2 linked regions of the Coturnix japonica genome follow. The protein of the gene in region 1 binds, or shares a complex with, the protein of each later gene. Links are inferred from orthologs where the notes say so. Each region holds a gene or a part of one and is shown on either strand. Other genes may lie near its edges.

Region 1 (3,812 bases):
GTTCTGAGTTTTAAGGGACCACAGACACCTGATGGGATCAGACTGTACCAGAGGCAGACTAACTGAGGTTTCTACTTGCAGAACCAAATTTTCACATACAGCAGGATTTGACTAGCATTCCACCCACCCTTCAACTTCATCTGAAATGAGAATTGCCTGACTCATAACAGGAAAAGAAAGCCCGTGACAGCAAGAGGTATAAGAACATTACAGTTTCTCTTATCAACTTACCTAACATTTTGCTTACATAAGGTTCAATGTCCACATCTTGCAGATGTTGATACGTGTGTGCATGATAGAGACGCAGGGTAGAGTCCAAACGAATCGACACCCATACCCCATCACCCACCCATGCCAGCTGTCTCACTTGGCTTTCTCTTCTTGGGTGTGCATCAAATGACTTCTATAAAAGATTGGATCTTGAATTAGAAGATAAATACAAGAATACAAAGGAATTCTGTGCTACCCTTACATGGTCAATATTGGTAATTTCCTTAAGTCATTTACTACCCTCTGATTTGTAAGGCCACTAGCAGACACTCAGTGCTTAGTTTGGTCGGTATTACCATACGATGCTGATAAGCAGTAAAAAGGCTGATTTGCCTGCCCTGAAGTGTGACCTCAAAGCCACAGTTTCCTGCTGCATCCTCATTTATGTAAATTCCCCAGTCAGTTGTGATTTCTATCTTTTCTATCTCAGAGCCTTTTCAGCATGAGGTCTTCTAGTCACTGCAGAACATATATATACCCCAAAGGTGTTTTTCTTCCCAGTTCTGTCAAAGCCTTGCTCTTGCATACTGACTCACTCCTGTCAACACAACCTATCCAGCAAAACAGTTCACTATTGTATCAATTCTTACAGGTTTCCTTGCATATATAGTCATTTCACAAACAGATTCAGAATTGGGCCCTTAATATTCTCAGAGGAGCTGAGCAGTCACCCTCCTGAAGTCTGATCCATGTCACAGACCAAATATAAGAAGCTGAATTATTAATATTGCTAATTGCTTTCATAAACCACAGGATCTTCATGCACTTGTATAATCAGAACACTGCAGAAACCAGCTTACACACCTTACATAAACACAATACTCCATAACTGGAGGGAGAGTACATTCAAGATTAGCACTTACAAACCTCTAAAGTATGCAGAGAGACTCTGAAGAAGGTTGTGGGCGGGTGGAGAACATAATGAATAAGTAAATATGCGTAAATGAAAAGAATGAGCTTGGATCTAGCACTGCAAGCTCTATAGAGACCTGAAAGGACACTGACTAGTTTTCTGGCCAGGACAAAGTAGGGAACTAAACCCCAAATTAATCAGTTTCAACAAATGAAAACTGCATTAAATTTTTTCGGGATCGTTACATCTTTGCAAAATTAAGAATTACTTCCCAAAACAAATTTGTTGGCCTATTTAAGTGCTGATGAACAAACATTACTCTCTGCAGTTACTCAGCAGTCTGTAACATGAGATGGCATTAAGACAAAACATTTAATTATTTTAAACACCATTTTAACTTGCCTCTATTTTCATGGCCTTAGGTTGAATAACATGGATTTTGTTCTTGTAGCCACACCAGACTCTGTCATACACAACTGTCATGCATCTTATAGAATGATGCGGCCGGCCCAGGTCTAAGAGGTGATAGTTTGTCAAATCCCACTGACCATCTTTAAAAACAGAAGCAAAATAAGAAAAAAACAACAACAACAAAAAAAAACAACAACAAAGCACAGGTTCCTATCAGTTTAGAAGTAACTTAAAAGCACAGCTAAATAAATACCTTAAGAATAGCTTCATTTTTCAAAAGCACTGTAATGATCTGGGAAAGTCAGTACAAATGCATGGGCAGGCTCCACGTTAAAAATACAGCATTTACTTGTATGAACTACCAACATCCCAAATGCTACTTTGTTTTTATATAAGGTTTACTATATTCACATTCCAAATATGTCAAAACATTTGTAAAAACAGAAATTACCTAGTGTTCAATGCTTTACTTGGTCAGGCATCAGTATATATGAGAAGCAGCTACCCACACGGCACCAAGCAATGGCTGCTTGACTGAGCATAGAGATGTTGGCCAGTGCATCAAGATTTATTTTTAACATGTTGTTAGACCTTAGAGTGGTGCCTGTTATCTGATGGAAATCACACTAAAATTGGTCACCCAACGCCAAATGAAGCTCTGCTGCAGACACCAATATTTGCTTGAGATACTTTAAGGGATTGTAAGCCATTAGAATTGAAAGGAAGAAAACATCACAACTTCACTCAAGGTGCATCTTTTCCATTATTTATATCAGTGAACACCAGGAATGGTCATTTCAACTACACAAGGGAAAAGAACAAATGAACAGGGAGCCTGCAGAGAGAAGCCACTAGATGACAAGTTCCAATTACTCTTCAGACATTCCCCTGTAGATCCTTATTCCAGAGGCTGAAGAACAGAGTCTGTCCCAGAGTGATGTGGACAGAAGTTCTACAGAGATGCTCACAAAATTCTATGGAAGGATTTGGCCACACACAACTTTAAAGATTAATAACGGAGCAGAAGTCAAATATTGGGCAGGACTAACAGTGATCAATGCAGGCTTCATCAATGAGCTTTCTGTTGCAAGTGCAGATACCTACACTACTTTTTTGCTTCCTATGATAAGAAAGAATTCCAGCTATGAACAAGAACAGTGCAAATATTCTGTGGGAGTCAAAATAAGCCCACATTTCCCTCAAAGGCCATTAGTAACACTTACACTGCATTATATAAGAACCTAGAAACAGGCAGCCAGAAGGGCTGACAGGGTCACTTTCTTTTAAGCCACATAACAGACAGGACTACCTGAAAGAAAAAGCCTAACAAAAACTGAAAGAACCAGAGGATTACAGCTCTGCGAAAGATTAAAAAAGCCTTCAATAAAATAATAGAGGGAAGAAAAGAGGAAAGATCCCACTGCAGACCCATAATCCGAAGGAGACTATAACATCAGAGGACAGGACAATTTAATGCAGCTCACAATGTGCTTGATTTTCCTGCAAGGTGCACTTAGGGCACTTCTAGTAAATGTTATGTATAGACAGAAAAGACTTATGCTTCCATTAAAAAGAGTAACAGATGACCAAGAAGTCTTTCCCTCACTTTGACAGAAAACCTGAAGTATATTCAAGAAATGCTATTCCACCTTCAGATATTTGATAACATAAATGGTAGTGATCTTTTCCAACCTGCCTTCAGGAATATACCATTCTTGTTGCTTAGAAACATGGCATCACAGTTTTATATACGTGTATATATGTATATATATAAACCATGGTCACTATTTAGTTTAGCAGTTCATGAAGAGAAAATCTGCAGTGGGTAGGAGATGCACAGAAGTGCAAGCAAACACAGGGAAGGGGGCAGAGGTGCACACAGTTCATATACCACATTCAGGACTTCACTCATTCCCTATACCTTTAAGCACCTTAAACAACTTGTCAGAATACGTAGTTGTGAGTTCAAATATAAGAACCTGGGTGTCTCAGAGCAAGAAGAGGGGATTCCTAACTGATGTATTTAAAGTTTCCCTGAACTTAAGTACTAAAAAAAGTTCAAGTACCTGGAAATGAAAAAGAAATGAGATCAAGGATTCTGTAAAATGGTCACTAGGAGCACATCTTCAAAATGCTATTTATAAGTGGCACATTTACTTCAGAAGTACTGCCATAACTTCACTTTCAAGACCCAACGGAATGCTTACCAACTCCTCGGTGAAATATTGCTAGTGTTCCATCAGCTAGTGCAACTAATACTATTCCTTTCACATGTCTG
Region 2 (4,407 bases), on another chromosome or scaffold:
CACAACTGAGCCTGCAGTGGTTGGACACCAGGCTCAGCTCAGCTCAGCAGGGCTCCCAGTCAATGCTCTATCCTCCAGCACCATGAACCCACTCGGTCCCACTCACACCCCACACAGAGATATACGTTGTTTGGAACCAGATTCAAAGTTACTTTGACATGGTCCAAAGTTACTTTGACATGGTCCAAAGTTACTTCGACATGGTCCAAAACATTCAATTCCAGAAGTGAATTCAGCGTTATTTTGTATGTGTGTGTTAATCTTCCCATTCATCTTTGGTAAGAGCTCCATACACAATGGACTTTGCACACAGAGTCAACGCTGCACAACCGTAGCGTAATGCCCCAATTTCACATCAAACTTATATCCTTGAGGAAAAAAAAAAAAGCCATTTTCTTCTGGTTTTGTAGCATACATTCCTAGAATTCCCCAATCGAGTTTAACTCCTTGAGGAAATCTGAAGTTAATCCTTAAGGCTGAATCAGAACCAGCTGCTTTAGTATGTTTTGCGGCCAGCACTAACACTTGATTGAGACCTCACACTCATTACTGGCTCTGGGTGGGGTTTTTCTGCCAGCCACACCTGCAGGCTGTGGCACGGCGAATGAGCTGCTTGCCCTTTAAGAACTAATTATGGAAGTTTACATTCATAGTCGTATTCTCACTCTCTCCACCCCGCTCTCATTGGCAGTTACTCAATGGGTTTCAGACAGCCAACACGGTTCCCTTCCTACAGCACTGCAGCAACAACTCAGGGCCGACGCTGCACGGCCATGCAGGAACTCAGCCCTCAGCTCAGCCCCGCTGCACAACCGCAGCTCGAGCAGCCGGGCTCTGTCTGTTCTCTCCATGCCACACATTCAGAAATGAGAAACCCCGTGGAGATTTAGATGCCTTAAGGTGATGCCAAAAGTGAGAAATCCTTTAAGATCGAGAGGCCCGAGGATGAAGCAACGTTGCCTTCATCCCGGGGCAGGCAAGTCAGTGCTCGACTTCTGCCCCAACCCGCCAATTTGGAGTAAAACTTGTTGCAACGCTTGCAGGTTATTGCTGCGTGTTGCTGGAAGGAACCTGTCTCACATCGAACTGGAGACTGACCGAAGGAGTAAAAACTGCAGCTAAACATCATTAAACTGGCAATGCAAGACAGAAACGGAACAGTATCTACCCTGGAACTATGATTACATCATTCGTGTTTTATTCGCTATATGGTCGCCATGTAGGATGGGGAACTCATTTGCATCCCTTCTCATGCATGATGTATGGTTCAGAACTTCACAGCTGACATTTCAAAGCAGTTCTTACATTACCTAGTGAACACGATGCCTGATATGCACTTTGAACGTGTTACAATGGTATTCCTATCTGCCACCGCGGGCAGGAATTGGTCTCGTTACGAGGCTGAGATACGGAGCCAGACCAAGAGTCACTGTTCAGTTACAGATTAACAGAACTTTACAAAAAGTCCTTAATATAAAAAGACAGACTGCGGTTTGATTTGAAGCAAGAGTTTTCCGTTTACTAGATGAAGTCGACCTATCAACATATTCCGCATGAAGGCAAAAGAGTAGCAATCTACAGCAAAGTGAGAGAGGAACAAAAAATATCATCAAAAAAGTCGAACCAGAAAAGCATACACTGAGAACGGCAGCCCTCCCCCAGCCGGCCCCAGAACAACCAAACCATCTCAAGGGCTTTGAGAGAGAGAGAGAAAAATAAAGTTACTTAGCAAGTCTACAATGTGTCTTTCCCCTGTTTGCCGAGGTCTGCCATAGCATCTAGTGCTCGTGTTCGTGTCACATTCGGAGGTTAGAGCATCCTAACGCCAAGCGAGGAGAGTTAAAACAGGAATCCAGTCAGGTGTGGAGAAGGAAAGGGTGGTCATTGGAGAAAGGTGATCGTAATCCTATGGATGCTTTTGTTTTACTTTTCTGTAGAGAATCATTCTTCCGGAAAGCCGGGCGGGTCATTTATTCTTTTTTTTTTTCTTTCTTTTTTTTTTTTTTTTCTTTTCTCTTTAATTCTTTGTAGACTAAATAGTTACTCTCATTAGGATTTATAATTGGACGTTAACCATGTCAGCCCTTCGTAGAGTCCGTCCCCTGTAGTAGCACACGAGGGCTGCACGTACCAATTCCTATCCCTGATCCGGGTCAGGCCCAGTTTCTCCTGGATTTCGTGTGGTTTCATGGCATCGGGCAGGTCCTGCTTGTTGGCGAAGATGAGGATGATGGCGTCCCGCATCTCCCTGTCGTTGATGATGCGGTGCAGCTCCTGGCGGGCCTCGTCAATGCGGTCGCGATCGGCGCAGTCCACCACGAAGATCAAGCCCTGCGTGCCCGTGTAGTAGTGCCTCCAGAGGGGCCGGATCTTGTCCTGCCCCCCCACATCCCACACGTTGAACTTGACGTTTTTGTAAGTGACCGTCTCCACGTTGAAGCCCACGGTGGGGATGGTGGTGACGGACTGGCCCAGCTTCAGTTTGTACAGGATGGTGGTTTTGCCGGCCGCGTCCAGCCCCAGCATCAGGATCCGCATCTCCTTGTTGCCGAAGATCTTGGATAGCACCTTGCCCATCTCGGCGGCATCCAAGGGCCCGGCGCCTGCAGCGGGGCGGGGACGGGGGGAGGGGGAGGTGCGGGCGGCGAGAGCCCCCGGGCGGCCCGAGCGAGCGGGGCCGGGGCCGCGGCTCAGCGGGAACCGAGCATGGGGCGGCGGCCGGGGGAGCGGGACGGAGGAACGGCCGGGGGAAAGGAAAGGAAGGCCCGGCCAACGCGGGGGGGTCCGAGGGCCGCGCCGACGCCGCGCCCCGCTCGCCCGCCGGTCCCGGAGGGCGGGTCAGCCCGGATCCCGCTTCGGCTCCGCCCGGCTCCTCGGCTCCTCGGCTCACGTGCGGCGGGACGGGCCGGGACGAGGCAGATCCGGAGCGCGGCTCCGTCCCGTCGGGGCCGGCCTCGCTCGGAGCCGGTTCCGCTCCGCTCCGCGCCGCTCCCTCAGCCCGCACCGCCGGAAGGCGCCGCGCTGCCCAAATCACTTCCCCTCCGCCCGCACCGCGCATGCGCACCGCGCCCCGCCCCGCTGCACGCGCACGCGCCGCCGATGGGCGGGGGGAGCGGAGAGCTTCCCGCCGCGCGGCCTCGGGGCGGCACCGCGCATGCGCAGAGCGGGCGGAAGGAGCCCCGCCCTCCCGCGTGGGCGGAAACGTGCGAGGAGAGGAACGGCGGGACCGGAAGTAGCGGGGGGGAACCGCGGGGTGACGGGGGGAGCCGCGCATGCGCACTGCGGGCCGCGCAGCGTGACCCCAAAGAGGGTGGGGCGGCTGGGGGCGCAGTGCGCATGCGTGCGGGGCCGGGCTGCTGTGGGGAGAGGAGTCACGTGATCGCACGTCAGAGGGAACCGGGAGCGTCTTAAAGGGACACGAACAGCGCGGGAAGGGACCGGGCGGATATGGGGGGCGGTGTGCGGTTAGAGAGCTGAGATGTGGGAGCTGTGCTGGCTGTTAGGCCCAGTCAGGCCCTCAGCCCCGTGCCCGGTGCTGGCTGTCGCTATGGAGCTGGGCGGCTGCTCTGTGTCATTGCCCAGCTCCACACGTGGCTGCTCTGAACTAACATGGCTGCACACAGCCCGCACTGTGTCCATGGGCAGCACCGCAGCTCGGAGCTGCTGCTGGCCGTGCCGTGCTAAGGCCTTTGGGACGGAGCGCTGCGGGTGTAATGGGAGCTCACCATGAGCACCCACAGCCCACAGCCCCACCTGGAGCAGTGCTGGCACCTCACACACCCTCAATAAAGCTCCACTTCTCGTGCTGCTGGTTGATCCTCAAGGTCAAACACCCACATAAAGCCCTCGCGATACCTGAGCGTGTTCTAGGTGACCCCAAGTCCTGCCCTGCTCACAGGGCTTGGCCTTCACCGACCTGCTAAAGAATTCAAGGCTTGCCCAGGTCCTTGGGAGGGCCCGACCTGTTCATGTTGAAGGCAAACATTGCAGGAGGCAGCACCCGCTGTGTCCCTGCAGGACGTCCTGCTGAGCTGCCAGCGTGGGACTCCAGCCTTGAGAGCATAAAGTAATTAGAGCTATAAAGTGATTAGAGGCTCAGGAGATCTGCAGATGGCTGCAGGGCCTGCTGCTGGCTGGGCCTGGCCGCAGAGCTGCCTGCTCCTTATGGCTTCCCTCACCAGCTGCACAGCTACCAGCGTGTGATGCTGTGTCTGTCATGGTGTGTCAGCCTGTGTTTGCTTGTTCTGTCCTCCAGCCACGGTGCAAGTGCTGTCACAAGAATGTGGTGGAAGACAATGATAACTTCAGCTTTGTGTCATAACCAATAAGCAAACTTCAAGGAGATGGATGGGTCAATACAAAGAAGGGATACCCTTTCTTTTTATCACTCAAATATCGTTTACCCTC

Evidence for each region.
Region 2: the proteins of SPAG9 (region 1) and ARF6 are in contact, whole or in part, in a crystal structure (PDB 2W83), measured with the Homo sapiens proteins. The link is inferred for Coturnix japonica from reciprocal best matches to the Homo sapiens genes SPAG9 and ARF6. Residues at the interface, in NP_001124000.1 of Homo sapiens: Lys431, Asn432, Ile435, Val438, Asp439, Thr442, Cys443, Asp446, Val447, Gln449; in NP_001654.1 of Homo sapiens: Glu13, Arg15, Lys34, Phe47, Val49, Glu50, Thr51, Thr53, Lys58, Asn60, Trp62, His76, Tyr77, Thr79.

Annotation. Positions count from the first base shown.
Region 1 is NC_029533.1:8,785,854-8,789,665, reverse strand, and holds part of SPAG9 (C-Jun-amino-terminal kinase-interacting protein 4), read right to left. Parts: intron 3,810-3,812; coding exon 3,742-3,809; intron 1,675-3,741; coding exon 1,526-1,674; intron 404-1,525; coding exon 232-403; intron 1-231. UniProt on the Homo sapiens protein: The JNK-interacting protein (JIP) group of scaffold proteins selectively mediates JNK signaling by aggregating specific components of the MAPK cascade to form a functional JNK signaling module.
Region 2 is NC_029520.1:52,349,851-52,354,257, reverse strand, and holds the start of ARF6 (ADP-ribosylation factor 6), read right to left. Parts: upstream 3,065-4,407; 5' UTR 2,578-3,064; coding exon 2,050-2,577; 3' UTR 1-2,049. UniProt on the Homo sapiens protein: GTP-binding protein involved in protein trafficking that regulates endocytic recycling and cytoskeleton remodeling. GTP-bound form plays an important role in the transport of multiple palmitoylated proteins form the Golgi to the plasma membrane.